Mus musculus: one gene and its partner. The protein of the gene in region 1 purifies or fractionates together with the protein of each later gene. This does not show direct contact. Links are inferred from orthologs where the notes say so. Each region holds a gene or a part of one and is shown in the gene's direction. Other genes may lie near its edges.

The links.
Region 2: the proteins of Aicda (region 1) and Ctnnbl1 purify together in Homo sapiens (affinity purification with western blotting; 3 studies listed by BioGRID, with this or other methods). This does not show direct contact. The link is inferred for Mus musculus from reciprocal best matches to the Homo sapiens genes AICDA and CTNNBL1.

The regions. Positions count from the first base shown.
Region 1 is NC_000072.6:122,550,985-122,565,837, forward strand, and holds Aicda (single-stranded DNA cytosine deaminase), read left to right. Parts: upstream 1-2,824; 5' UTR 2,825-2,917; coding exon 2,918-2,925; intron 2,926-8,486; coding exon 8,487-8,634; intron 8,635-10,056; coding exon 10,057-10,327; intron 10,328-10,856; coding exon 10,857-10,972; intron 10,973-11,435; coding exon 11,436-11,489; 3' UTR 11,490-13,196; downstream 13,197-14,853. UniProt on the Homo sapiens protein: Single-stranded DNA-specific cytidine deaminase. Involved in somatic hypermutation (SHM), gene conversion, and class-switch recombination (CSR) in B-lymphocytes by deaminating C to U during transcription of Ig-variable (V) and Ig-switch (S) region DNA.
Region 2 is NC_000068.7:157,731,631-157,747,151, forward strand, and holds the start of Ctnnbl1 (beta-catenin-like protein 1), read left to right. Parts: upstream 1-5,770; 5' UTR 5,771-5,899; coding exon 5,900-5,929; intron 5,930-15,521. UniProt on the Homo sapiens protein: Component of the PRP19-CDC5L complex that forms an integral part of the spliceosome and is required for activating pre-mRNA splicing.

The DNA.
Region 1 (14,853 bases):
GCAGAGGCAAGAGGAGCCGGAACTCAGCCCCCTGACTTGTCTCTGCCCCACAAAAGGATGAGAAAGGTTTAGGTTCCGAGTGTAACCATTGCCACAGAATCCTGCACTTAAGCAAAGAAACAAGCAAGCAAACAAACAAACAGAAACGCCACAGACAAACAGAAGATAAGCATCAACAATACGCTGCTTTTCTCCGGTCCAAAAGGCCCCAGTTTGCCTAGAGAGACCACGCAGAGCCTGCGCAGCCACATTCAGAGCAAGCCGCAGTGGTGTGGAACCTCTCCTTGAAGACGAGAAAACATTTCCTTTCTTTATTTCTATGTTTTGTTTTTTGTTTTTGTTTTTTAGCAGGGTTCCATGATTGTCCTGGAACTGGACACATAGCCCAGGCTAGTCTCAAACTTCCAGGAATCCTCCTGCCTTAATCTTCAGAATGCTAGAATTCTGATCGTGTACGACTGCCATACTTGTCTTGGGGGCGGGATTGCCTGTTCCGCTGTCTGTCTGGCGACAGGGTTTCACTATGTAGCCCTTGGTTGGTCTGGAATACCTTTCCTTCTTTCTTCCTTAAACATTTGAAAGATTTATTTATTTTATGTATGTGAGTACACCGTAGTTGTCTTCAGAAGCACCAGAAGAGGGCATCAGATCACAATAAAGATGGTTGTGAGCCACCATGTGGTTGCTGGGAATTGAACGCAGGACCTCTGGAAGAGCAGTCAGTGCTCTTAACCACTGAGCCATCTCTCCAGCTCGCCCACTGGCTTCCTTGCTTGCTTTTTCTTAAGTTTTATTTATTTATTTATTTATTTATTTATTTATTTAGTTATTTAGTTATTTATTTAGTTATGTATATTGGTATTTTTTCGAAGAGGACATCAGATTTCATCTTAGACGGTTGTGAGCCACCATGTGAATGCAGAGAATTGAACCCAGGTCCTCTGAAAGAACAGCCAGTGCTCTTAAATACTGAACCATCTCTCCAGCCCCTGCTGCTCCCTGTCCCTCTCCCTTTTAAAGAAATGGTGTCAGTCAGAACAGGCAAGATGGTTCCATGGATAAATGTCCTTGCTGCAAAGCCTGACTACTTGAGTTCAAGCCTCAGGATCTACATGGTGGACAGAGAGGACCAAGTCTTGTAAATTGTCTTCTGACATCTACACATAAGCTCTGGCCCTCGTGCCTCATATACCCCTCCACTGCCAAGCACAGCAATATATATATAATTTTTTAAAATGTAAAGAAATCACAACATCTCTGCCAATATCCATCAAGTCGGCCCTTTGGGAGGCTGTGTACGTGTGTCTCAGTATGTCATTCCCTGGACAATTGGCCAAAGTAGGGCAAAGGTCCGGGCCTCATCCTGTGAGACAAGTTAGAGGGACTTGTCCACCCACCACCTGGGTTCCCTTAACCCTGTAATGTCACGGCTGGTGCTGGTTACTCCCGGTGCCCTGAAATTTTTTTCCCAGGAATTCATTAATTCACTAGTGAGGGAAATTGTGTCTCTGATAGTGATGTGATAATGCAGAGGAAATTAATTAGAGGAAGAAGGAGGATGGGGGCTCATTAACATTTCAGATATGATATCCAGGGAAGGCTAAACTGCCAGGGAGTAAGCCAAGTCCTGAACTATGAGACTTTGCACAGAGAGATTTCACAGCAACAAAATAGGGGCAGGGGCATGTGCTGTGTGCATGCAACGGGATCCAGTCTCTAGCTCAAGACTGGTCTGGTCTATATAGAAAGTTCCAGACCAGCCAGAGGAGCTACATAATGACACCCTATCTAAAAAAAGGAAGGGAAGGAAGGAAGGAAGGAAGGAAGGAAGAAAGGAAGGAAGGAGGGAGGGAGGGAGGGAGGGAGGGAGGGAGGGAGGAAAGAAGGAAGGAAGGAAGGAAGGAAGGAAGGAAGGAAGGAAGGAAGGAAGGAAGGAAGGAAGAGTATAAGAAAGGAAGGAAGGAAGAAAGCAAAGGATGTTCTTCCAGATGATCAGGGTTCAGATCCCAGCAACCACACATGGTGGCTTTCAACCGCCTGCTGGTCCTCTGCAATAGAAATAAGTGCTCTTAATCACTGGGCCAGCTCTCCAGGCCTCCAGTAAGGTATTTTTAATGAGGAAAAAGAGTTCTTTTTTAAAAAAAAAATACTTTTTGACACACACACACACACAAAATTAAAATAAATCACTTTTTGGTGCAAGCAACTAGTCTTTCTAGCTATCTTATAATGTCATTTTAAAAAAAGAAAAATATATTAGAGAATTAGGAGGCTAAAGTTCACTCTCTGGATGCTGTGGTGGTCAACCCCCATCTCTACTGAGGCATAAAACTGAGTGTAACAAACGGAAGGAACAGATACTGTAAGTTCAAGAAGCACAAGATGCATTTAAGGCCACTTTAAGTCACTATGACTGCTATCATTCTTGTTATCACAATTTTAAAATTAGGAAGCATGCACAGACCTTAGGTGTGATACCTGGGACCCCCCCACACACACACACACACACACTCACAGAGCTCATTATCATGATACCAATGTGAAAAGTGTCCAGTGCTATTGTCTCCTGATCTTTGTTACCTGTGGTACCTGGGCTGGCTTTTTAGAGGAACAGCCTCGAAGGAAGTTGGACATTAAGCATGAGCAGAACTGCCCCCCGCCCCCCAATCATTTAATCCGTGTGGCTCTGCCCACCACAGCCCCGCCCATCTTTACTGGACCCAACCCAGGAGGCAGATGTTGGATACCTGGTGGTAGTGATGCTGTCGTGGGGGAGGAGCCCACAAGAGCAAGCTCAGATTTGAATGCCAGGGGCCAGTGCTCTGTCACACAACAGCACTGAAGCAGCCTTGCTTGAAGCAAGCTTCCTTTGGCCTAAGACTTTGAGGGAGTCAAGAAAGTCACGCTGGAGACCGATATGGACAGGTAACAAGACAGTCTCATCTGCTTGTGCATGTGCTCCAGTAGTGCTGGCTGCCTGTCTGGATGGAGGCTTTGCCTGTCAGTGCGCGAATTTCCTCGTCTGCTTGCCACCCTCTGCTCAGGTCTTTTGGGTTTTGGACCTAACTCTGACCACGAAGTTCTTCCCTTCCCCCGGTTTCTCTCTTCTCTGTGTTGCTAGAGATAGGAAGCCTTGACTTGTCCTGAGATTTGGGCAGAGCTAGAGCCGGCTTGTGGTAATAACAGCGAAGCCTTAGAGGCCCGCGCCACAAAGAGGTCGTAGCAACTCCTTACTAAAAACAGTAGTGGTTATTTTCACAATTATTTGGCAAATATCCAACATCTTAAGACTCGCATGGGGAGTCTTTACAGGAATTATTTAGTTATAGCAAGAAGATTTGTACTTCTCAAAAAAAAAAAAAAAAAAAAAAAAACTAAACATTTGAGATGAATTGCTTGCAACTCATTACAATGGTGTCTATTGAAGGAGAGAATTTCATTAAGACAGGCAATTTAGTGTTATAGACTCAACTGTTAGACACTTGGTGACATTTTTACTGTTTAATTCATCTATGCAGAGATTTCTTAGCTTCTTGAAAGCTTTTATATGCAGCTCATGATGAGCCATTATCAGAAATTTCTCTCTTGATTTTTACATTTATTGCCAGTGTGTGAGTCACTATGCCTAAAGCCCATACACTTGAGCTCACTTCCGTTTGGCTATGAGGTTTAGAATATGGAGTTAATATAGCTAATGGTAGCAGGGTGTTCTTCAGATTCCAGATTTTTCCTTTCTTGTCTTCCTTCTTTCTTTTTGTTACCCTTCTCCTACCCCCTCTTCTTCTCCCCCTCCTCCTCTTCCTCCCTCCTCCCCATCTCTTCCCCTCCTCTTCTCCCTCCTCCCCCTCCTCTTCCCCTTCCCCTCTTCCCCCTCTTCCTCCTCTTCCTCCTCCTTCTCCTGCTCCCCATCTCTTTCCCTCCTCTTCTCCCTCCTCCTCCTCCTTTTGCCCCTTCTCCTCTTCCCCCTCCTCCTCTTCCTTTTCCTTCTCCTCCTTCTCCTCCTCCCTCTCCTCCCCCTTTCCTCCTCCCACTCTCCCTCACCCCTATCAGGGACCACATTGAAGACCTCACACATGCTAGACAAGTAATCTGCCACTTAATTACATCCTGAGCCCTCAAAAAGCAAACAGACAGACAGACAGACAGACAAACAAACAAACAAACAAACAAATGTTCACAGGAGGCAGGCAGACAGCATGAGCTGCTTCTGGGTTTATAGTGAATTTTGAAACCAAATCTGAGATCTATGTCCTGATGGAGAAGGGTCCGAGAGAAATGCATGAGCATGGCAAAATGCAAAGCAAAGACGAGGCTGAGATTCAGGGAGAAGCAAACAAGACAGTGGAGAGACACAGGATGGCACGGCATGGACTGGAGCAAGGGCAGCGGGTAACTCAAGGCAGCCCTGCTACTAGGCTGGGATTATTTTTAACCCCTTGAGTCTGGTTTGCATTGCTGGGGAAGCAGCTAAGGTTCTGCCTCAAGGAGCACAGCTGTCTCAGCAGCTGGCGATCTACAGGTTTGGGACACCACCTAGCAAAGTCCTCCTTACCGGGAGGGACATCCCGAGGAGAGGGAGCTGGAAATAGGCTCCTAGCTAGAGTTGAGGGGAGTGCTGGATGGAGGTGCCCAGTCCACAGGTCAGGACTGTGCAGCTCCTCCCACCGTGGCTGGAATCTTAAAATAGAAACAGTCTATTACATCTTCCTGTGGTTCAGACACAACTCTTCTATTTGAGACACATCCTTTCTAAACTCCAAGGATACCTTTCCTTCATAATTTCAGCATCCACCCCCAATACACACTCATAAATACACAAACACACACACAGAGTAAGAGAGAGAGAAAGAGAGAGATAAGCACGTATGTACACTTGCTACCCACAGTATGTAGGAAAAGTTCTCTAGGGCTGTGTGTACGGCTCTGTGGCACAGCACTCACTAGCAGGTACAAGACTCCATGTTCAACCCACTGAAAAAGATTCTCTACTTTTCCCATCTAGGTAACACAGGAAGTTTAGTTAAATAGAAAGGGAATTTATTGCTAAGAGATGAAGTTTAAGCTGTTTAAAACTGGCTGGATTAGAGAGATACCTGTGCTTATTATTATAACATGCTGAGTTTACCTGTACTGTGGTGGTGATGATGATAATGATGCTGTGTCATCACATAGCCCCCGTGGCTTAGAATTCTCCATGAAAGTCAGGCTGGCTTCCATTACAGAAAGATCCACCTGCCTCTGCCCCCCTTCGCCCCCAAGTTCTGGATTTAAAGGTGTGCACACCATGCCCAGCTTCTAAAGGGTTTTTATAATTTAGTGATGAATGTAGACATGGAGGTACTATGATCGTTATCATGGTAAATTACTATTTCAAAATAAAGCTATGATCATTAGAGGCCAAGACAGGAGGACCATGAGTTCGAGGCCAGCTGCAGCAACATAGAGATTTCCAGACTAGCATGGATCCCGCAGCATGAGCATGTCCCCAAAACAATTTTGTTTTTCCAAAAGTCAGGGACTGTCACGTGTGTTGAACTATCATTAAAGCATGAGCTGTGAACGTGTGAACATGCATTCAATGATAGTATATGGTTATTTATAGTGGCTCTAACCACTGCAGCACCAAAGCGGAACATATCCAAATTTCAATCAGCACATAAATGAATAAACAAAACATGTTCTACCCATACAATAGAATATTGCTCGGCAGGAATAAGGAGCCAACTTCTGATATTTGGGTGAATATAAAATTTACTATGTTCCGTGAGAGCAGTTACACAGGAAGGAGGAAACGTGATTTATATGAAATTATAGAAAGTTAGAAATAATTTACATTTACAGAGAGCAGGTCGGCGGTTGCCTGGGTAAGAGGAGAAAGAACAGCCAATAGCGACATAGAAGCTTTAAGAAGCCTAGAAATGTCTCCTCTGATGGCCCTGGCAGTCTGGGCTGCGGACCTGCCGGCATTCACGGAGCTGTAGATTTTAAGCGAGTGGAGCTCACTATGTAAATTGTATCTCAACAACAACAAAAGTGAAAAACGGTTTCAATTCTCTTGCATCAAAACCGTATTCAAATTCCTAACTAGCTCTTAAAAAAAAAATCATTGCACTTCCATCCATCACCACTGTGTGGCGGTGCTGTGTCGACAAGTGAGCGACACAGTTGTTTATCATCCGTTTTATCTCCTGGCTCATGTCCACCGCTTTAACAGGAACTGTAATTTTTTTTTTTTTTTAAGAAACGTGAGGGCTGGGAATATGGTTCTGTGGGAACAGCGCTTGCCATGAAAGCAAAAGGACCTGAGTTGAGGGGTCCAAAAGCAGACACCTGTAATTCCCGTGCTTCTAAGGCAACATAAGAGGTGGAGAAAGGAGAACCCCAGGAAGCTTATGAGCCAGTTAGCCCAGGGCGCACAGCAGAGAGCAAGAGATTCTATCTCAAACAAGACAGAAGTCAAGGACCAACACCCAAGGTTGTACTCTGCTCGCCACACGTATCCTGTAGTATGTGTTGCCTCTACCCCCACCACATACACACACACGCACACACTCCACAAAGATTTTAAAAATTATTTTTAAGTGTGTGTGTGTGTGTGTGTGTGTGTGTGTGTGTGTGTGTGTGTCAATGCATGTGCCCTCAAAAGTCAGAGGTGTCGGATCCTGGTGGAACTGGAGTGACAGGTGGTTGTGAGCTGCCTGATGGAAGAGCAGTTCGTGCTCATAACTGCTGAGCCATCTCTCTAGTCCCCAGAAAACCTGTATTTTTAAAGAAAGAAAGAACGAACGAGAAAAAAAAAACCTCGGGGGCTGGAGATGTAGCTCTACTAGAGAACTTGCCAGCATGCACAAAGCCCTGGGTTAAGTCCCCAACAAGTAGGTGGGACAAGCCTGTTGTCCCAAGACCAGGGGAGTAGAGGAGGCAGGAGAGTTCTCCTTGTCAAATTCCCCACCAGCCTGAGCTAAATGAGTTCTCATCTCAAAACAAACAATAAAAATAAATAAATAAAATAAAATCAACAAAACTGACCCAGCAAAATCCAAAAATGAAAACCCAAAGACCTAAGCAGGGGTGGGGGTTAGGGGGGCGTGGTTTGTCAGACGGCTCAGCAGGTAAAGGCATAAACTGCCAAACCTGATGTCTTGAGTTTGATCCCTCGAGCTCACATGATGGAAGCAGAGAGCCAACTTCCACAAGTTGCCCTTTGACCTCCACAGGTATGTGTATGTCCCTACACACATATCATTCATACAACGATAGTAAACAAATGTGATTTTTTTTAAAGACACAGAGGCAACTATTTCTTATACTTCTGTTTAATGAAGAATGGATAGATACTATGTAGCAACGTGATCGCAAGTCGACATGACCTCATATGACCCTGTGCTTAGAGAGGGAGGAAGGACGCCCCCAGCAAGGCCCATCTGCAACATTCCTTTTCCTGGATAGAGACAGGACACCCACAGAATATGGCTCTTCAAGGAAGAGAGTGACCTTTCTTTTCGCAGGAGCTCAGTGGCTTTGATACCCTGTTGTCTTCCTTCCTCGCTGTGGCTCAAGTGCTGGAAGTAGAGAGTGACTTTCTATGTTTTCCTTTGCTTTGTCTTGTACTGAGTCAGACCTAGAGCCTCATACATGATAGGCAACTGCTGAGCTACTGAGCTACGTTCTTGTGGTGGAGCTCAGGCTGGGCTCAAACTTACAGCAACCTCCCTCCCCCAGCCTTCCCCCCACTCCCCCCCGCCACCCCCCCACCCCCCACCCCCGCACTCCCAAGTGCTGAGGTTACAGGCACAAGCAACCTAACCTGGCCCTTGCCATGTTTTATAACTTGCTTTTGGAAGACTTCTGGTTCTGTGATGCTACTGGGTTAGCGGGGAGACAGGAGGGCAGAAGGTTAAAGGTGTCTAAGACCATGTCCAAAGCCCAGTAGGAGGATTAGGGAGATGGCTGGGCTGGAGAGATGGCTCAGTGGTTAAGAGCACTGGCTGTGTTTGCAGGGGACCAGAGTTCAATTCCCAGCAACCACATAATGGCTCACAATCATCTACAATGGGATCTGACACCCTCCTTTGACATGCAGGCATGCATGTACACAGAGCAGTCATACATAAATTATATAAATAAATACATTAAAAAATAAAAAGTAATAAAGGGTAATTACCTAGTTTGACTGTTGCAGCGAGGGGGGAGGGGAAGAGGAAAGGGAAGAGGGTGGGCAGGGAAGGATTTTAAAGTGAGCATGTCTCAGGTATCCAGAAAAGGAAGCACGACTATGCTTTCTGGTTTAACCTATATAATGATAAGATTTAAAACATCATGATGATCAAAGTAGGCCTGGGGATGCAGCTCGGTGCTGAAGCGCTCAGCTACCTTGCCTATGGCTGTAGGTCCAGCCATCAGCAGCTGCAACAATAATAATCAGAGCTGAAGGAAGACTATGGTGACAGAGAAGCCTTGCCCTGACTTTCTTCTCCAACTCACAGCCTTCTGATGAAGCAAAAGAAGTTTCTTTACCATTTCAAAAATGTCCGCTGGGCCAAGGGACGGCATGAGACCTACCTCTGCTACGTGGTGAAGAGGAGAGATAGTGCCACCTCCTGCTCACTGGACTTCGGCCACCTTCGCAACAAGGTGGGGGGGGGGTTGCGGGGTTGGGGAGGGGGTGGGTGGCAGCTGTTGACACTAAAGCTATGGCTGCCCCTGGTGCCAAATGTTGAGGGGACCAAGGCAGGCCGATTGCTGAGTTTGAGACAGCCTGGTCTACAGAGAGAGTTTTAGGACTACACAGAGAAACCCTGTCTGGAAAAACAAACAAACAAGCAAACAAAGAGTGAAATAATGGTGCATGCCTGTATTTCCACAGTGCTAGGGCTGAAATGAAGGATCTGCCTTGCCAGACAAGCCCCGCCCCTGAGCCCTCCCCTAACCGCCTCTGGCCCCTCAGCCCCTCAGCCCTTTAATCCCTCAGCTCTGGGTTCTTTCTCAAGCACTTTCTTGAGTGAGAAAAACAAATTATATCTTCAGAATTTTTGAAAATCAATGAGGAAAAAAATAGGTAAAATGACATCAACTCAACTTTATTTCCCAAACAATTTTGTTCCCAAAAGACCAGAGAGGCCAATGACCGACCACCTTTAACCCAATGAGTTTCCTTCAGGGACCAGAGAGAAGTCTCTGTTGTTTGGGTAATTAGATAATCCTTCGGCTGCCTGAAAGAACTGCGTTTCTAAGAGAGTTCACCAAATTGCAGATTGGCTTCCATGGGCTTCTCCTTCTCTACTTGGAGTCATGACACACTGTATTTATAGACAGCTTGATCAAGTGGTACTTTCTCTTCGCACACAACACCAGCTTGATTTACTGCTAAGGAAATAGTGCAAAAAAAGATGAGTAAAAGAAAAACTATCTTCAGTCTTCGACAAACGATTTTCGCAATAGGAGATGGGCCTATTACGATTGCAGTTATTACAGTCACTGGCATCACATAGCATGTACACACACGCGCGCGCGCGCGCGCACACACACACACACACACACACACACACACACACACACACACACACCCCTTAATTGCCTTCCACTTAAAACGCCAGACGCCAAGTCAGAGACGAAATCTCTTCAATAAGCTTTTTCCTCCCTCCTTACAAATTATTCTGGCGCCACCTAGTGGCCAAGGTGCAGTTTGCAGTTTTACAACGTGGCGTCCAAACAGGCACTTCCGGGACACGAAGGTAATCCCTGCAAGGTGTGTATCCTTTGTCCCATAGATGTGCAGCTTTCCTTTACCCAACAAAGCCAGTGTAATAAAGCCATTTGACTCCAACAAGTGCTATCTTAATAAGAGAATTATCTTTATGCTGGGAGTGATGGCACACACCTTTAATCCCAACCCTCCAGAGGCAGAGGCAGATGGATCTCTGTGAGTTTGAGGACTGCCTGGTCTACATAATGAGTTCCAGGTCAAGCCAGTGCGACATCCCCACAAGCATCCCAAATGGCCTGGGTGGGAGAGCATGCAGGTCACGTCACCAGTGCTCTCTGCTCTTTCTCCAGTCTGGCTGCCACGTGGAATTGTTGTTCCTACGCTACATCTCAGACTGGGACCTGGACCCGGGCCGGTGTTACCGCGTCACCTGGTTCACCTCCTGGAGCCCGTGCTATGACTGTGCCCGGCACGTGGCTGAGTTTCTGAGATGGAACCCTAACCTCAGCCTGAGGATTTTCACCGCGCGCCTCTACTTCTGTGAAGACCGCAAGGCTGAGCCTGAGGGGCTGCGGAGACTGCACCGCGCTGGGGTCCAGATCGGGATCATGACCTTCAAAGGTGAGACTTGCACACTGGAGAGAGCGGTCTGAGTTGCCACTCAGAGTGAGTGTCAGCGGGGAAACTGGGGGTGGGGTGCTACTTAAAGACCTTCAGTTCGTCCTGGATATCAAAAGTATTACTTTATTTTTTGAGGTAGGATCTCGCTATCCCAGGCTGACCTTCAACTTGCAATTCTCCGACCTCTGCCTTCTGAGTGGCGGAATTACAAGTATACATCAATCTCAGAATTATCAGAATTTGAGAGATAGAAGTTGGCAGGGCTACAGGTGCGCTCAGTGGCAGAACTCTGGTCCAGCATGTGCAAAGCCCTGCATTCCACCTTTAGCAGTCAAATAATAAATTGAGGAGGGAGAGGAGGAGGATAGTGGTCAGAGAGATGGTTCCGTGGGGGCCCTTGCCTTTGTACCTTAAGTTTAACCCCTAAAACACTCTGACTTTCTGACCTTCACCTACACACACACACACACACACACACACACACACACACACACCTCCTTCTTATTTATCTATTTATTTTTCTTTTAAGACTATTTTTACTGCTGGAATACATTTGTAGAAAATCGTGAAAGAACTTTCAAAGCCTGGGAAGGGCTACATGAAAATTCTGTCCGGCTAACCAGACAACTTCGGCGCATCCTTTTGGTAAGTCTGCCTGTCTGTCTGCCTGTCTCTCTGTCTGTCTCTGTCTCTCTGTCTGTCTCTGTCTCTCTCTCTCTCTCTCATACACACACACATACATACACTCACACACACACACACACACCTGGAGCCTCTTAGTTATTTGTTTGTATTATGCATTATTTTATACAATGATTACTTCAAGGCACTTACAACCCAGTTTTCTTTTCTGCTTTACCCAGGACAGAGCTTCCACTTAGACGCTTGCCTCTTGCCTCCTCTTCGCTCAGTCTTCATAACTCTTTCCTTTTGCTAACCTCCCCTCAGGTGGGGTTCCTTCCAGGGCAGAATTCGCCCCTTCTTTTTTTCCTGGTCCTCAAGCAATTTACTTTCCTCTGGAGCCACCCACTTCGTTTAGACACTTTCCTTTCCAGAGATCAAATTTAAAGCCCTTCACTCCGTTTATATCATCTCTCTTTCTCCACAGCCCTTGTACGAAGTCGATGACTTGCGAGATGCATTTCGTATGTTGGGATTTTGAAAGCAACCTCCTGGAATGTCACACGTGATGAAATTTCTCTGAAGAGACTGGATAGAAAAACAACCCTTCAACTACATGTTTTTCTTCTTAAGTACTCACTTTTATAAGTGTAGGGGGAAATTATATGACTTTTTAAAAAATACTTGAGCTGCACAGGACCGCCAGAGCAATGATGTAACTGAGCTTGCTGTGCAACATCGCCATCTACTGGGGAACAGCAGAACTTCCAGACTTTGGGTCGTGAATGATGCTCTTTTTTTTCAACAGCATGGAAAAGCATATGGAGACGACCACACAGTTTGTTACACCCACCCTGTGTTCCTTGATTCATTTGAATTCTCAGGGGTATCAGTGACGGATTCTTCTATTCTTTCCCTCTAAGGCTCACTTTCAGGGGTCCTTTTCTGACAAGGTCACGGGGCTGTCCTACAGTCTCTGTCTGAGCAATCACAAGCCATTCTCTCAAAAGCATTAATACTCAGGCACATGCTGTATGTTTTCACTGTCCGTCGTGTTTTTCACATTTGTATGTGAAAGGGCTTGGGGTGGGATTTGAAGAATGCACGATCGCCTCTGGGTGATTTCAATAAAGGATCTTAAAATGCAGATGAGGACTACGAAGAAATCACTCTGAAAATGAGTTCACGCCTCAAGAAGCAAATCCCCTGGAAACACAGACTCTTTTTCATTTTTAATGTCATTAGTTTACTCACAGTCTTATCAAGAAGAAGAGTTCAAGGGTTCAACCCAATTTTCAGATCGCGTCCCTTAAACATCAGTAATTCTGTTAAAGGGATCAAACATCCTTATTTCTTAACTAACTGGTGCCTTGCTGTAGAGAAAGGAGCAAAGCGCCCAGATCCAAAGTATATAGTTATCATAGCCAGGAACCGCTACTCGTTTTCCATTACAAATGGCAAATTCTTCCCCGGGCTCTCCTCATAGTGCCTGAGACGGACCACGGAGGTGATGAACCTCCGGATTCTCTGGCCCAACACGGTGGAAGCTCTGCAAGGGCGCAGAGACAGAATGCGGCAGAAATTGCCCCCGAGTCCCAACTCTCCTTTCCTTGCGACCTTGGGAACAAGACTTAAAGGAGCCTGTGACTTAGAAACTTCTAGTAATGGGTACCTGGGAGTCGTTTGAGTATGGGGCAGTGATTTATTCTCTGTGATGGATGCCAACACGGTTAAACAGAATTTTTAGTTTTTATATGTGTGTGATGCTGCTCCCCCAAATTGTTAACTGTGTAAGAGGGTGGCAAAATAGGGAAAGTGGCATTCACCTATAGTTCCAGCATTCAGGAAGCTGAGGCAGGAGGATTGTAAATTTGAGGCCAGTCTGAGCTGTAAGGTGAGACCCTATTTCAAACAACACAGCCAGAATTGGGTTCTGGTAAATCATACTTAACAAGGGAAAAATGCAAGACGCAAGACCGTGGCAAGGAAATGACGCTTTGCCCAACGAAATGTAGGAAACCAACATAGACTCCCAGTTTGTCCCTCTTTATGTCTGGTCTCCCTAACAACGATCTTTGCTAATGAGAAAAATATTAGAAAAAAATATCCCTGTGCAATTATCACCCAGTCGCCATTATAATGCAATTAAAAGGCCCACAAGAAATCCTGTATACACGACCGTTATTTATTGTATGTAAGTTGCTGAGGAAGAGGAGAAAAAAATAAAGATCATCCATTCCTTCCTGCATCTATCCCTGTTTTTTATGTTGCTGCGTGGCATCTATTCTGAAATATTAAAGTGGGTGCCTGAAGTTTCATAAATTTGAAACTTTAGAGATTACTATATATCTGCACTCGTCATTGTGATCATCCAAAATCGTAATGATTATGGCTCGGCAGCTGTGCTCTTGATTTTTAGCAACTCCCACCCCCACCCCCACCCCCACCCCCACCCCCAACCCCCACCCTGCGTGCAGCAAGTTCATCCTGGCTTATTTTAAATCAACTGAATTCGAGATTAAAATGTGAAAGTTTTGGAGATGAACTACTGAATAAAATGATGTCGGGAAAAAGCATTTATATATTAAAGTCATACAGATCACAGGGAAGGTGGCGCATGTATTTAACCCCCAGCATTGGAAAGATGGAGGCAGGAGGCTCTCTGTGGGTTTGAGGTCAGCCTGATCTAGACAGAGTGCTCCGCAGATAGCCACACAGAGAGAGCCTGCCTTAGAGAAATAAATACCTGATGAAATAGAATTGAATTGAGAGTCCAGAAATTAACCCACTCAGCTATGACCAACTGATTTCAGATAAAGGTCCAAGGTGTACTGAGTCAGCAAACCCTGCTGGGGCAATCTGACATCAGGTGCAAAGAGTGCAGTCCACATGGTGACACCTGCCTGTCCCCTACTCGGGAGGCTGAGACAAGAAGATCAGTAGTAGTTGCAGTAAATCTCCACCCAAATATGCCCTGGCAATGAAAACACAACTCAATTAATATGAATACATGCTGTGCGCCTAGATTGGGCAGATCTACCGCTGCACTACCATCTTCTCCATCTATGAGACCCTTTAGAACTTGCGGTTTCTAAGGTTTGGGGGTATAATTAGCCCCAGGGCTATCCACAACACTGTCCTAGGCGCATTTCCTAAACACGAGCTTATTCATAAGCCCAGCCAGAGGGTTCACATTGCCCACAACACACCCTCCTTTCCTACCACATAACCAAAGCCCAAACTCTAGAACTGGTTCTAACTGGGAATTCTCATGGCATCCCATAGCATATACCCCCTTCTCTGCAGTGAGCAATATGTCCAGTATTTCCTGGAAACCATTGGTACACAAAACTCTGAGTCACCAACACCCGCTGCTCTGTCTACTGAACTGGCTTCCAATGTTAACTAATTCATTTGAGTGTGTGTATTAGTGTGAGTGTGTGTTAGTTACTTTTGCTGTTGTTGTGATTAAAACACCATGACCAAGGGCAACCTAAGGAAGAGAGCGTGTGTATCTTGGCTTATGCCACTGAGAACGAAGCCATCACTGTGGGGTGGAGGCATGGCTTCAAGTGTCAGGCATGACGTGAGGAGCAGGAAGCTGGGAGATCACATCTTTAACAGCGAGTGCCAAGCAGAGAGGGAAACTGGAAGTTAAAGCCCACAAGTGATGTGCTCCCTCAGCCAGGCTGCACTTCCTGAACACCCCAAAACAGCGCCACCTACCTAGAACCGACTTTGAATATCTGAGCCTATGGGGACATTTGTCATTCTAACCACTGTTGTGCACTGTTGTTGCACAGTGAGCCATCTTGCCAGCTCATATTCCACAATTTGTATTTCATTTTACCAATGCTCTCTCTGTAGTAGTGATAATGATGACTGTTCCCTTTTTTGGTTTTGCT
Region 2 (15,521 bases), on another chromosome or scaffold:
ATGGGCCTGACCATGCTTTTATTTGGAAGAATGTGGGCTTTGAGACTTTGGATTTGGAAAGCAGTGGGATGCTTTAAGTGGGGCTTAATGGTCTGTCCTAGTATGAATATGGAAGATTGTGTTGGTGAGAGTGATTTGAACTGTGTAGACCTGGCCCAAGAGGTTTCAGTGAAGAAGAATTTCAGTATGTGGCCTAGAGATTGCTTTTGTGATATTTTGGTGAAGAATGTGGTGGCTGCTTTTTGCCTTTGTCTGAAGATTCTATCTGAGGCTAAGGTAAAGATTTATATTAATTGTATCGACCAAGGAAGTCTCAAAAGAGTCTAGTAGAGACTTTGTTCTCTGGTTTAGTTTTATAAAGAGTGTTTTAATGAAAAAGAACAAGCGGAAAAAGGAAGCATATAAAATGTATGATTCAAGTAATAAAGGGTACCAGGAAGTGAAGTGGAGCCAAATCCTATGTTCAAGGAGATAAAAGATTGAGGGAGTGGTGATCTCAGAGCAAGATCCCACCCAGCTAAGCTTATTGTTGGTGTTTGCAATTGATCTAGGGAAGTTTGGACTTCTAATCCGGAATGAAGTATAATCCAGAAATGGGGGTACACTTGTGATCCAGATCCTGAGTCTGGAAGACACAGGCTTTTGAACTGGTTTTTGAGGGACACTGGCCATGAAAATATTAGGACCATAAATGGTGGTTGTACTGGCTGGCTTTGTGTGTCAACTTGACACAAGCTGGAGTTATCACAGAGAAGAGCTTCAGTTGGGGAAGTGCCTCCACCAGATCCAGCTGTAAGGCATTTTCTCAATTAGTGATCAAGGGGGGAGGGCCCATTGTGGGTGGTGCCCTGGGCTGTTAGTCTTGGGGTCTATAAGAGAGCAAGCTGAGCAAGCCAGGGAAGCAAGCCAGTAAGTAACATCCCTCCATAGCCTCTGCATCAGCTCCTGATTCAGAGCTGCTTAGTTCCAGTCCTGACCCTTTGGTGATGAACAGCAACGTGGAAGTATACGCTGAATAAACCCTTTCTTCCCCAACTTGCTTCTCAGTCATGATGTTTTGTGCAAGGATAGAAACCCTGACTAAGACAGTGGTACACATCTTTAATCCCAGGAGACAAAGCCAAGCAGATCTCTGAGTTCAAGGCCAGCCTGGGACAGAGTAAGTTCTAGGGGAAAAAGCTTAAGTTCAGGCATGGTGGTACATGCCTTTAATTCCAGAATCCAGGAGATAGAGCCATGCATATCTCTGAGTTCAAAGTCAATCTACAGAGCAAGTTCCAGGACAGCCAAGTTTAGGCAGTAAGAGTTGAAAAAAAGAAAGCTGGTAATAGAATGAGGGGGACCATGTTCCAGCTCCAGCAAGCTGCAGATCTTGGCAGCTTTGGTCATTTGTCTCTGGATTTAGAGTCAAGAATAGACAAGACTACTGTGACAATTGGTGTAGCTTAGCTGGAGCTAAGAAATTAGTGTTGATTACAAAGAGACCGGCATCACTGAAATGAAATCAGGGAAGTGTTTTCTGAGAGTAAGAGAATCTGTGTTCCAGAGATAGCCAAGGTTGTACCTTGTGCTGCAGCTGGACTTGGTAATGTAAGAATAATTGAGATGGTATTGGTTTTGAAGGAATGAAGGGGTCATGGCGAGCAGCTGAGGCTGGGCACTTTGAGAGGCCATGGAAGGCCATTGGTGAAGATTCAGTCTCAGTTGCAACTGATTGCCCAGGACTGAAGGGGTCATGCAAAGAAGTTGAGGTTTGGCACCATGAAGAAATCCTATGAGAGGCTATTGGTGAATCTTAGTTGCAGTGGAAGATCCCAGTGTATTGGAGATGCCAGTACCATGGGATGATCACCAAGAACAGCAGCAGCAGTGGAATGGAGTTAACCAGAGACTAGAGTGCTACAGAGGGCAGAGCTGGAGAAGTGATGCCAGCCCTTTGGAGGAGCCCAGATCATGTGTGGACCAAAGACACTGGAACAAGAAGCTGTGAAGCTGGAGTTGACCTTACGATGTTAAAGATGCCAGAACCACAGGATACCTGCCAGGGAAAGCTGCTAACAGGGAGTGGCATCAGCTCAGGAGAAAAAACTTTGGATGGATCTCGGAAGGGGCTTTGGACTTTTAACATTGTTAAGACTGGTATAGACTATGTTGGACTAAGTGTACATTTTTATTATGCTATGGCTAGCTATGGCCCCCATAGATGTATGTGTTTGAACAAGCCTATAGGGGCCAGGGAGTGGAATGTGATGGTTTGTATATGCTTGGCTCAGTAAGTGGCACTACTAGGAGGTGTGGCCTTGTTGAAGTTTGTGTGGTCTCCTTGGAGCAGGTATGTCACTGTGGGTATGGGCTTTAATACCCTTGCCCTGGATGCCTGGAAGTCACTCTTCTCCTAGAAGCCTTCAGATGAAGAGCCTCTCAGCTCTGCCTGCACCATGCCTGCCTGGAAGCTGCCATGCTTCCACCTTGATGATAATGGACTGAACCTCTGAACCTGTAAGCCAGCCCCAATTCAATGTTGTTCTTTCTAAGAATTGCCTTGGTCATGGTGTCTGTTCACAGCAGTAAAACCCTGACTAAGACAGGGAGTCAAGTGGAAGTGCCTCGGAGCCCAAACTGGTACATCCCAGAGGATGACAGCCTGTACCCCACGTTTCTGCAAGGTGCAGTATGACATTGCTTTTGTGAGAATCCAAGCAGATGCCACAGCCCCTCTGGGGGCCTGCAGTTATTGGGGTAGCTGGGAATAGTGCCCTGGGAAGAGCAATAATGACAGTGACAGGGGCCAGGCTCCCTTTCAAGTGCTTTAGCAGGTGGCAATAAAGAACCCGTGCAGAGGCTCCCTGGAGAGCACTAACAGAGCAGGGACAGAACAGGTGCACACCTGCAGACAGTTTGGGCCTCCACAAGCACTGGCCTGAGATTCCCAGGCTGGTGCGGTCAAGGGCCGTTAGTCAGCGAGTGTCTATTGACGCCTGCTGGGCATGATGTACACACCTGGGATTTTAACCCTGGACAATATTTTTTGTTTAAGATTTTTCTCCCTAACTACAGTATATGTTCCCAGAGCTCCATGCTGGAGCTGGGGAGATCACTCCCCGTGTGAAGCACTTGCCTTGAAAGCCTGAAGACCTCAGTTTGAAACCCTAAACCCGTGTAAAGCCAGGCATGATAGCGCGCACCTGTAATCCCAAGGCTTTGTGCTGAGATGGGAGCTGGAGACAGCGGAATCTCCAGAAGCATGTGCCTCCTACTGAGAGATCCGTATGCCCCTGCTTCTGGAGTGCTAGGATTAAAGGGGTGCACCATCACACCTGGCCCTGACCTTTTCTTTAACTCATTTTCATAAATTGGCAGCTTAGCTGGGTGGGATCTTGCTATGAAGCCACTGCTCCCTTCATTCCATTTAACATCAAGATTAAAAAAAAATTATCTCCTTGAATAGAGGATTTAGCTCCACTCTACTTCTTGCTGTCCCATTTCTCCTTGAACAGTCTCTAGGCCACACACTAACATTCTTCTCCATTGAAACCTCTTGAGGCAGGTCCCCATAGGTTCAAATCACTCCAGGTACCACTATCTTCCATGTTCCTACTAAGATGGCCCATTAAGCCCCACTTAAAGCATTCAACTGCTTTTCTAATCCAAAATCCCAAAGTCTGCACTCCTCCAAACCAAAGCATGGTCAGGCTTATCACAGCAATACCCCAGTCCCTGGCACCTACCTTAGTCAGGGTTTTATTGTTGTGAAGAGATACTATGACCATGGCAACTCTTATACAAAGGTTTCTTTGGGGCTGGCTTACAGTTCAGAGGTTTAGTCCATTATGGTTATGGTGGGAAACATGGCATTGTGCAGACAGACATGGTGCTGGAGAAGGAGCTGAGAGTTCTATATCTCGATCTGTAGCTAGCAGGGAGAGACAGTGATACAATAGCCAGGCTTGAGCTTCTGAAACCTCAAAACCTACTCCCTAGTGACACACCTTTCCAACAAAGCCACACCTCCTCTAACAAGGCCACACCTCCTAATAGTGCCACTCCCTATGGGCCCATGGGGGCCATTTTTATTCAAACCTCCAGACTGGGCTTTTGCAAATCTGCCTATTGAAGCTGACTGAGGCAAGGCACAAACTAGAAAATAGTTCTGTTCATGGTTACCTTTATTCTGTCCTGCCTCTCTGGAGGTCACAATCTACACTTAATTGAAAGGGAGGGGAAGGACATGCAAATGAACTCTGTAAAAAGCAGTTTACATTGGCTACTCTTTAAAAACAAAAACCCAATCAGAAAGCATCCCTGTTTTGACGATCTCAACAACTTCCCAAAGTAGATAACATAAAATCCACTCTCCTTAACAACACTCACAAAGCCCACGGTGAAACCTTCTCTGTCATGCGTTGTTCTGGGCTTTGAAGATTCGAGGGTGAGGTTGACAAACTCAATCCCAACTTTTAGAGAGTTTGGAGTCCAATTAATGAGGCTGTCAAAACATAAAATGTCAACCATCAAGTACAAAATGACAGATTGAGTCTGTGAACAGTAGAGGAAGTGCTAACAGAGAGAATAATGAGGAGAGGTTGTGGCAGTTTGAGGAATAACAATTTTCTTATGTGTAGTTGGAGGTAGTTGAATGGGGTTTCTGGATGGTGTCTGTTGTAATCCCAGAAGAGGAACGCCTTGACTATCTCTCAATAATGGGCAAATTCCTTCCCCAGGAACCAACCTTTATATATATATAAATGTGTGTATGCGTGTGCTTGTGGGTCTGCACAGAGACCAGAAGAGAGCACCAGATCCCCCAGAACTGGAGTTACAGGCAATTGTGAGCTGTCCAGCATGGGTGCTGGGAACGGAAGTAGACGTCTAGAGAGCAGTAAATGGTTCTAAGCGCTGAGCCATGTCTCCAGACCCCCAGACCCTTTAATACAGCTTGGGTAGACAGGAGATCTTCCAGTTGCCACTGGGTCTTGTGTTAGTGAATACAAAGAAGCCTGGGGGAAAAAAACAAACATGATATCAATGGTTTCTCAGCCACCTATGGCCGGAAGCCATTTTGTAAGCCCAGGGGAAGCATAATGGGAACCCCAAAATGAAATCCACATATACAATTTCAGTATATCTACTAAGTACGCTTAACAAATGAGAGGAAAGTCAAATTCATTTCATAATATATCTTCCTTTACCCAGTAAGTGAAAAAAAAAAAAGGAACCAGTTCAAGTACGAAAAATCCACTGTGCATTTGATTAACACTTAACATCTTTATTAGGACTAGGCACACTTCAAGTGCCCCAGAGCCACATGTGACTAACTATGGGGCGCATAATTTCAAACCTCAGCTCCTTCCTCTCCCTCTTTCCCTCCCTCTTCTCTCCCTGTAGCCCTAGCTGTCCTGGAACTCGTTTCTGTAGACGAGGCTGTCCTCGAACTCAAAACATATGCCTGCGGAGCTCTGCCTGCCTCTGCTTCCCCAGTGCTGGGATTAAAGGCATTCAACACCACCAACAGGCCAACTTCAATTATCTGTGAAATGAGAATGAAAGAACAAAAGTGCCAGTCTCTGGAAGCTCTTTAAGGTTACCCACGAAATGCCAAGCACTCTGCTCTACTCTTGGATAACGGCCTCGCTTTTAGGTTCATCCCCTAAGTATCCGCCCCTTTCCCCGCCCCTTCAGGTTACAGGCGGAAGCAGAATTGTCAAAACGCGGCGCGCTTTACGGCAGCGCGTCCTTTTACGGCAGTGTGGCGGGCTCACCGGCCACGCGCTCTTTTACTCTATTGGTTCTGGGGCCTGGCGCTTTACGGCAGTGTGTCAGGAAAAGCCTCTGAGCGGCCCGTGGTTCGGGAGTTGAGTGGAGGCAACCAGGGTACCCTGTGCTGATTGGGTCCGGAACCATGGACGTGGGCGAACTTTTAAGCTACCAGGTAAGAGCAGTTGGCGAGGCCGGAGGGCTCCTCATCCTCGCTCGGGTAGCAGGGACAGAGTCCCGTCATCTTGCCTCCCCTCGGTCCCTGGCCCTCACTTCTCATGTCACCCGGGCTTGCATCCTGTCATTGCACTTCACTCCCCTAAGCCCTCTGGACCCTTTCGACCCCTTCCTTCTCCAGACCTGAGCCTTGTGATTTCTGTTCCCCACCCGGTAGCCCTCAGCTCCTCTTCCGTCTCGTTTCTACCAATTCACAGGGCTTGGGGAGACAGTTGTGAAGACCCCCGCCCCCCCCCCCCCCCCGGTGTTGAGCCTCAGTTTCTTTACCAAGTGTCAGTGTAGCTTTGGAGAAGTCTTTCTCCCGTCACGGAGTCTCAATTCTTCTTTTAAAATCTATAAAGTGGATGGATGTATGTGAAAGGTCATTTGAAAGTGCAGAAACCTGTGCCCACGTTCCCTGCTATTGTTAAGCTGTTTGGAAGACGGAGCTTGGAATGGGTCGGTAAGAGACCTCTCGACCTCCTTGCTCAGGGTGCTTGTGAGGAACGGGTGACCCAGAGAGAAGAAAGGACTCTCTTGAGGTCACTCAACAGTTACAAAGCTCAAGTGTCCAGACTCCCAACTCAGAGTTTTGTCCCTCTTTTGACTGCCTAACGAGGCTTCTTGTGTCCATCTTTGTTTTCATTAGCTGCAATAGGCGTTGGGACCCATAAACTGTAATTATTCTGAATTAGGAAGTACTGTAATTGTAAATCACACTTCATTTTAAAGACTTAGTATGAAAAAGGTAGTATTTTTATATTGATCACAGATCCTTGATCATATTGATTGAATATGTATGAGGCCATAATATGATGGAGCAGACTTTGGGTGATGGATGAAATAAAAAGTGGGTAAGCCAACCTTATCCACTTGCATTTTGTTCAAGGTGTGATGTTTTAAAAGTGATAGCTTTGCAGTCAAGAGTAGGCAGTGAGAACCTGTGAACTTGAGTTTAAAAGTGATAGCTCTAGGCCGGGCGTGGTGGCTCGTGCCTTTAATCCCAGCACTTGGGAGGCAGAGGCAGATGGATTTCTGAGTTTGAGGCCAGCCTGGTCTACAGAGTGAGTTCCAGGACAGCTAGGGCTATACAGAGAAACCCTGTCTCTAAAAAAAAAAAAAAAAAAAAACTCAAAAAACCCCCAAAACCAACAACAACAAAAAAGTGATATCTCTGCAGGCCAGAGTAGGCGGTAAGAACCTGTGAACCTGAGCTGTTAGCCATGGCTGCCTTGAATCTCAGTGCCTGAAAGTTGGGAGGGAGGCAGCGGCCAGTGGGTCACTGAGTTCCAGGCCAGCCAGGGGTACATACTGAGACACCCCACCACCACTACAATAAAATAAAATAAAAGGCCTGGATTTGGAGCCCCAGGTTGCCTTCCATGCCTTTTGCCTTACTAACTAGTTGTTGTAATCTTGAACAGATACCTCATGGTACCGACCTTATGGTCGGTTGTGAAGAAAGTTCTTCTTCTGGTAAGAGTCTGTTAAGAAGCTGGCGCCTTTAATCCCAGCACTTGGGAGGCAGAGGCAGGTGTATCTCATTGAGTCCGAGGCCAGCCTGGTCTACAGAGGACAGCCAAGGCTACACAGAGAGACTCTGTCTTGAAAAACCAAAAAATAAAAGCAAACCAAAATGAAAGAACAACAAAAAGCCTAGCTATGTCTGGTGGTTGGTGATTCACACCTTTAGTCCCAGCATTTGGGAGGAGGCAGAGGCAGGCGGATTTCTGAGTTTGAGGCCAGCCTCGTCTACAGAGTGAGTTCCAGGACAGCCAGGGTCTCACAGAGAAATCGTGTTCAGAAACCAAACCAAACCAAAAGAAAAGAAAAAAGAAAAGAGAAAAAAAAAGCAGTGTTAGGCCAATGTTTGTTGCAGTTAAAACAGCCCATAAATACTAATATTGGTAGTTATTTCCTTTAGCCAATATATACAACACTGACCCCGTAGATGGAGACTCCAGGCCTGATGAGAAAGAATACATTAAAAGAAAAAAAGGGAAAGAATACATAAGCAACAGATAACAGATGCGAGGCCATAATAGTTTTCTCTTTAAGATATGTAATTGGTGATGAAACAAGAAAGATGGTGGGAAGGTCACCGATGAGTGCTCGTCTGGGAGTTCTGGGCTGGCTAGTCCAGTCCATTGTTTCAGATGTGGAGCAACACTACCAGAAGGGGCCCATTCTTTGGTTACAGATATTTATTGACCATCTACTGTGTGCAATGCACTTGGTCCACTGAGCATATGATGTGGAAAGAAATGAGACAAGGCTCTTGCTTTTGTGTGAAAAGGCAAATATGGTGGGGGAGTCACCAGAGAATAACTAAGGAAGTAAACAAGAACTTCAGATGGCTGGACGTGTTGTGAGGGAGTGCAGCAGGGTCCGCCGCGGACATGTGAGCATACGTGGTGGCTGTTGTGCACATGGCTAGTGCACGTCAAAAGGGGGGCCCATCTGCATCAAGTTCTTTCTTATGTGTAAAGTGCACCCTGCATCTCACAGCCTTATTGTGGAAAGATGAAATGTCTTAATTTTTAAATATGGATTACATTTGATATACTGGATTAAGGATAATAGATTATTAAACTTAAATTTTGTGCCTACTTCCAAGTTTAATCTTCTATGTAAAGTTTGTGACTTCCACTGCATTTCTGTAGGCCAGCGCCATTGTAAATAGCTCCTTTTAGGGTCTCTGTAGACTGAGTGATCAGGGAAGGAGTCTGATGAGCCAGCATTAGTGCTCTGAAGGTTGAGGAGCCAGCATATGACAGGGCAGAATAGTGAAGGCAGGAGCAGCGACTGTGAGTGCAGGCCTAGGCCCATTAGATGAGTAGAGAGAAGAGCCGTGTAGCCCGAACTTGGTGAGTGAGCAGGACACCAGAAGGGGATGGAGCTGGAAATGTTGGCAGACTACAGACGATGTAGGACTTCCTTAAAAGCCTTTGCATTTATAGAGGTGATACAGATGTCTTCATTCAACCTAACTGTTTGTAACTTACTAAGAACTCAGATCTGATAGACAGACCCAGCTAAGGTTTCAAGCTAGGGCTGTGACTGACAGGCCAAGGCAGTGACTGACATGTCTCCAGAATCTTGGTCTTGGAATTACAGCTCTGTTCCTTTCAGCAGGGTCTACTTCCATTCCTATCTGAAAAGGTGGTAGTCTAATCTAGAATCTGTAGTCTAAATCTATAGAGTCTACTCTATAATCAGTCAGACATGGCCTCCTGTGGGAAATCTTGAGGATGAGATGAGCCTATAGAAGTGAAAGTTCTTTGAAGACAGTGATAATCTTACACAAAATAATTAGTTATAAGTGAAAGTTCTTTGAAGACAGTGATAATCTTACACAAAATAATTAGTTATTTATCTGCCTCTTCACTAAATCCATATAACAGCCTTACCAGGAACTAACTTTCTTTTCTAGTCAGGATCTTATGTAGAACAGGCTGTCCTTAAACTCACTTTGTAGCCAAGGGTGACCCTGAATTTCTGACTCTCCTGTTCCACCTTTCAAATGCTGGGATTGCAGGTGTTCACCACCACATCTGGCTTATGGTATGCTTTGGACAGAGCCGGGGCTTCATGAACGCTAGGCAAGCACTCTACCAAGCGAGCTACATCTCTAGTCCAGGAGGAATTCCCTGGACCCCACAGAGTCTCACTATATAACCCTGGCTGGCCTGTAGACCAGGCTAGCCTCAAACTCACAAACATTTGCCTGCTGCTTGCCATTGCCTTTGGAGTGCTGTGATTAAAGGCATGGCCATGTCCGGTATGAGGAACTGTTTTAATCTCTGATTTACAGAGGGAGAAACTGAGACCTAGCCACTGAAGGTACCTAGCCAGAGAGTGCTCAGGCAGTCCTATTCTGTAGCTGGAGCTCCTGACTGTTCTGCTGGTCTGTCTGCTGTGTGCCAGAGGCAGAACTAACTTGCTTGCAGATAAGTTGTCAGGTATGGTTGTCAGCACATCCTCCAAAGGGAGATGGTGTGACTGCTTCATGGAAAGGGAAACTGGAGCTAGGGAGGCAAGTTTCCTGTCTGTGAAACTCACAAAGCCAGGAAGCAGTAGAGCCAGCACTGAACACCCAAGCATGTTTGCCATTTTGAAAAAAGCCTTTGCGTTGATGTGCTTATGTAGAAGAAAGCGTACATTGTAAGCACTGTGGCATATAGTCAGCACTGGCAAAGCCGACTGCCACTGAGCACGGAAGCTCCCTGCGTGGGAACAGAAGGGAGCAAAGCTATCCCATTCCCAACTCAAGTGTTTGACTCAGTGTCCTGAGAGTTGGGGGTGTGCATTTGGGGTGATGCTAAAACTGGTGGTCAGGGACTGTCCACAAAGGCACCCTGGTCTAGACTCATCTGCATTCACTTAAGCTTTTCCCAGTTGAGACGACCCTTGCTTCTCCTGGGCACTGGTCTGCAGGCTTTTCAGCTTAAGCTGTACTTCTTCCCTGCCACTCAAAATGGAGAGCAAATCACTTAATCTCTCTGGGCCTCAGTTTCCTCCTATGCCTAATGAGGGGATTAAGTATGACTCTCTCCGAGGTCTCTAGTAGCTTTAAAATTCTGCTATACTAATTATTTAGGCCAGGGACTCCAGAGAGTCCAGGGGCTGAAAAAGCCTGATGGGGTGAAGAAGTTGGGGCTGGAGACCTGAGAGATTGGGGTTCTAATCCAGCCTTTATCAGCACTTATCTGGGTGTCACTTTCCCTCTCTGCACATCGTTCTTCCCGTTAGTTGTAAAGTGAGGAGGTCAGACAGTACAACTTCTGGTTCTTTCCATTCTGAAACTCAGGGTCTAAGGTGAGCAAGAAGAACTATCATACAGCAATAGGAAGTGTTTATTAAAAGTTTAACAATTTTTTTAGCATGCTTATTAAATTTCATTTTTTGGGGCAAGTCAGTGGGAAGATTGCAATTTTCTGCTGAGATTGGTTCTTCTGGTAATAGGCAGAAGAGCGCCTCAGTGCATGCCTTCTACCCTTGACAGATGTTAACAATTCATTTGAGAAGACAGGAGAATTACAATGTGGACAGGAGGTGGTGGGGAAAGTCTTAAAGAGGAAACCAGTTATGTTCCCAATATGGAAATGCACTTTTTGATGCCTTCAGGCTTAGACATCTCATCAAGAGGTGTGCCCAGCAGTGGCTTGGCAGAGAAGTTTCTGCCGCATAGGCGCAGAGCTGAACTCCAGGGCACTCTCATTAATACTCATTCCACAGATGTCTGGGAGAAAGTTCTTTTACCTCTGAAGTTTTGCAATAAAGAATTCACATTTAGTTCAGATTGGCTCGGTGGGAACGGCTGGCTTTGCACCACCAGAGAAATTCTCTTTGAGACAGATTGGGGTCAGAGACCCTTGGCTTGGGTGATATTGCAGACACCCACTCCCCCTGTCAGATGTGGGTAATATCAGCATTTTCTTGGATTGGAGGGGCTTCTACCAATCTCTGTTTTGCACCTCTCCCATTTCTTACTTTTGAAATAAATTTTAATGATAATGATAATCAACTGTCAAAAATAGTATGAAAGATTTTGAGGCGAGGAAAAACCATCACCCGTATCTAAGGACTATTTTTTTGTTTTCATATTCTCCCAGCTTGGGTACCTGTAAGTATTGCATATGGGTTCTTTTGTGTTGTTTATTTTAAGCATGCATTTCTTTTCTACATAGCTTTCATGCTGTTCTCTAACGTATGTGAGCTTTTGTTTGAATAATAGACCATTTTCCCCTCCATTATTTCTCCTCAGTTGGATATTTCGGTAGTATTCAGGTTTTTGTTCTTGGAGGTATATTGTGTGGAGCTTCTTTGTTCAAGTGGCATTTCTCTCTCCCCTTGTCACTCATAATTACTTTGTGCTATTTCCTGAGGTAAGGGTCACATGTGTTAAAATCATTGCGACCTGATCTGGGCTTGAAGAATTCATGATCTGAGATGTGAGGTGGGCATTTAAACACCTCACTGTGTGTAAGTATCCTGGGAGCACTGTGTAAGGAGCAGTTGGATAAGCTCAAGGAGGTGCTGGATCAGAGGGCGTGGATTCAGTTGGGTCATTGAGAAAAGAGAGGGCTTAGAATCCCAGCCCTGATGGAAGAGTCTGTGGGTGGCAGAGGAGGCTGGGAGGGGTCAGTTGCCAACTGTTAGGAGCAAAGTTGTGTGATGGGTGTTCAGGGAATTGGGGGAGTAGCCAGAGAGAGTGGGGTCCCTTTAGCTGCAGGGACAATGCGGCCAGCGCTCATGTGGGGCCACCCCTTCATTCAGCTCCATGCACTCCTGTTTACTGCATCCTGATAGTACTGCTTGTAGTGACTTACATTTCTGCCATTTATCTAGTAGGCACATAAAGCGCTAGCTCAGAGTTATTGAGTGAGTGTATTTTTCTTGTACATGTGTATCATTTGTACTTCTTGCTACCTGCTTCCCCCTGTTAAAACAGTTTGTAATTGAGCCTTTTCAGTTTTTGTTTTTGTTGTTCTTGGGCGTGTAAGGCACATTATTGAAAGTCTGAACTCTTGAGTTCAAAATGCATCCTTCATTTTTGTGGCAGCTTCATGTTATGTTCTAACCCTGAGAATATTATTCTGATCATACTGAAAGAGACTGCTTTTTGCATGACAGCTTCATGCTTTCCCAGGTTAATTTTGTTAGCAAGCTGGCTATAAATAACAGGTAAAGAGCAAGTTCCACTGGTGTTCCTTCCCCATTTATTTCCTCTCTCCATGTTTTTTCTCCTGTAAGTTCATTTCTTCTCGCCATGACTTCCTCATCTGTCTTTCCTCCCGCTCATTCTTATCACAGAATATACAGTATGCTCCTGTGCCTCCTGTAAATTCAGGGAGGCAGCCAGCATCTAGCAGCATGTCTTACCATCCTCAGTGTCCAGTAATAGTTGTTTGGGAACGGCTTGTGTATTAATTTTTTTAATGCTAAGATCAAATACTTGACAGAAAGCAAGTAAAGAGTGCAAAGGTTTGTTTTGGTCACAGTGTTTTGGTCACAGGGAATACAATTTATATTAGTTACTCTCCTGTTGCTGTGATTGAATCCTGACAAAAAGCAACTTAAGAAAAGGTTTCGTCTGGCTCACAGTTCCAGAATATAGAGTCCTCCCCGGTGGGGAAGGGATGCAGCCGGAGCATGAGGCTGCCGGGCAGGCAGTCAGGGAGCAGAGAGGTCACATTTCCTGTGCACATGGGCACATAGGAAGTGCTGCCAGGCTATAAACCTTCAATGCCCGCCCTCAGTGATGGGCTTCCTGCAGCAAGGCTCTGCCTTCTAAAGAGTTCAGAACCTTCCTAAACAGCGGTACCAACTGGGGACCAAGTGTTCAGACACTGGAGCCTTTGGGGGGCATCCCTCATTCTAGTCACTATCGTTCCATTGTGGTAGGGATCACATGGCAGCCAGCATGTGAGGGCCTGGTCACATTGCATCCACAATCAGGAAGCAGAGATGATCAACTGGTGATCAGCTGGAATTTTCTTTTCACTTATTTCTGGAACCTAGTCCATGGGCTGGTATTCAGGGAAGGTCTTCCCTCCTGGGTCAAAAACTCCCACACAGATACACCCAAAGGTGTGTTTCCATGTTGCTTCTAAAGATTTATTTATTGCTATTTTATAAGTGTAAGTGTTTTTCTGTGTTGTACATATGTGTACCATGTGCATGCTTTGTGGCCAAAGAGGCCAGAGGAGGGCATTAAATTTCCTGAAACCTGGAGTTACAGATGGTTGTGAACTGCCAAGTGGGTGCTGGGAGCTGAATCCAGGTCCTCTGGAAGAGCAGCAAGTGCTTTTAACTGCAGAGCCATCTTACCAGCCTTGGGGGTGGGGTGGGGGGTGGGGGCTGGGGCTAGTCAAGTGCAGATTAACGGTGGGGACGGGATATGTGTGCTGTGGAGTTTCCTTCTTTTGGAAGCTCACCCTCCTCTGCCTCGCTTGCTGGCTGGGATGGTGCCCTTCCTTTCCCTTCCGAGGACGGTTGTCACATCACCTTCTGAACAGTTTTTCTCTTACATTTTTGTACATTTGTTTTTCAAGACAGGGTTTTTCTTTGTAGCCTTGGCTGTCCTGGAACTCACTTTGTAGATTAGGCTGACCTGGAACTCAAGAGATTCACCTGCCTCTGCCTCCTGGGCACTGGGATCAAAGGTGTGCGCCACCACCACCTGGCTCTTATTTATTAGTTTATTTGTTTATTTGTTTATTTATTTATTTATTTATTTATTTTAAATTAGTTATTTTATGTGTGTGGCTGTTTTGCTGCACATATGTGAACCTTCTGGGTGCAGTGCACTCAGAGTCCAGAAGAGGGCATCAGATACCCTGGGAATGGAATTACAGACAGTTATGATCTGCTATATGGGTGCCGGGAATTAGATTTCTCTGGAAGAGCTGCAGTATCCTTAATCAATGACCCATCTCCCAGTCCCTAATTTACCTAATTTAACTCTTTAAAAAAGTGTGTGTGTGTGCATGTGCTCGCACCTGCTGCCGGCTCTCTCACTAATGCTCCATTTTTTTAGTTCAGTGTTCTGTGGAGGTTCCTGCATTTAATTGTCATAGTTCTTTGGTTCCTGTGTCAGAGTTTGAAGAGTACTGGTTTAAAAAACCCACATCGTTGAAGAATGCCTGTGCCCTTTTCTGTCAGCTATTTCTTGGGCCTCACTGTTCCTAACTTTTTTTTTTTTTTTTTGGTTTTTTGAGACAGGGTTTTTCTGTATAGTCCTGGCTGTCCTGGAACTCACTTTGTAGACCAGGCTGGCCTCGAACTCAGAAATCTGCCTGCCTCTGCCTCCCGAGTGCTGGGATTAAAGGCGTGCACCACCACGCCTGGCTTGTTCCCAACTTTTTACTAGGTGTGGCTGTAGGCCCAGTCTTGTCCCTTCAGAGGAGCCCATCCAGTCTTCCGCTTCAGCTCCTTTATGTAGCTACCTGTTAGCCCTGGAGCTCTGATTGACATTTCTTGTGTCGACTGAACTTCTGGCCAGATGTTCAGCTATCACACAATCCTCTGCTTCCTCCTCTGCCCGCCCGCCCGCCCGCCCGCCCTCCCTTCCTCCCAGCCCAACTTTACATTTTAGTCAGGGCTGTCAGCTGCTCAGTGACTTGAAAGAAGCCTTGGGGCTCTTTCTCAGAGATGAAAGTGCTGCGAGATGAAAGATTCTCTCCCCCTAGACCGCATGAGCTTGTGAGCCAACTCCTTCCAGGAGGAGAAGGCCTGTGCCTGTGTGAGTGACTGACTCAGTCTGGGTAGGAAGAGGCCCAGTGAAGCTTGGGGAGCTTGCATTCCAGAGGGAGCTCCAAAGGTTTGAGGTCCCGGCACCCAGTGCCACACAGTGCTGCCACATGGGGTGGCATCAGCAAGGTGTGGGATCCTGAGCCAAACAGTCCCACTGTGGGACAGAGGCTTCCCAGAGGAGGAGGGCTGTGTCCTTAAGAGCCTTCTTTTTGTCCTCGTGTTTCCACCATCACCTCAAGCTGTAGCCCTGCAAGGCTTTGCCACTCAGGTGGCTTCCCAGATGTGGTGCTGTG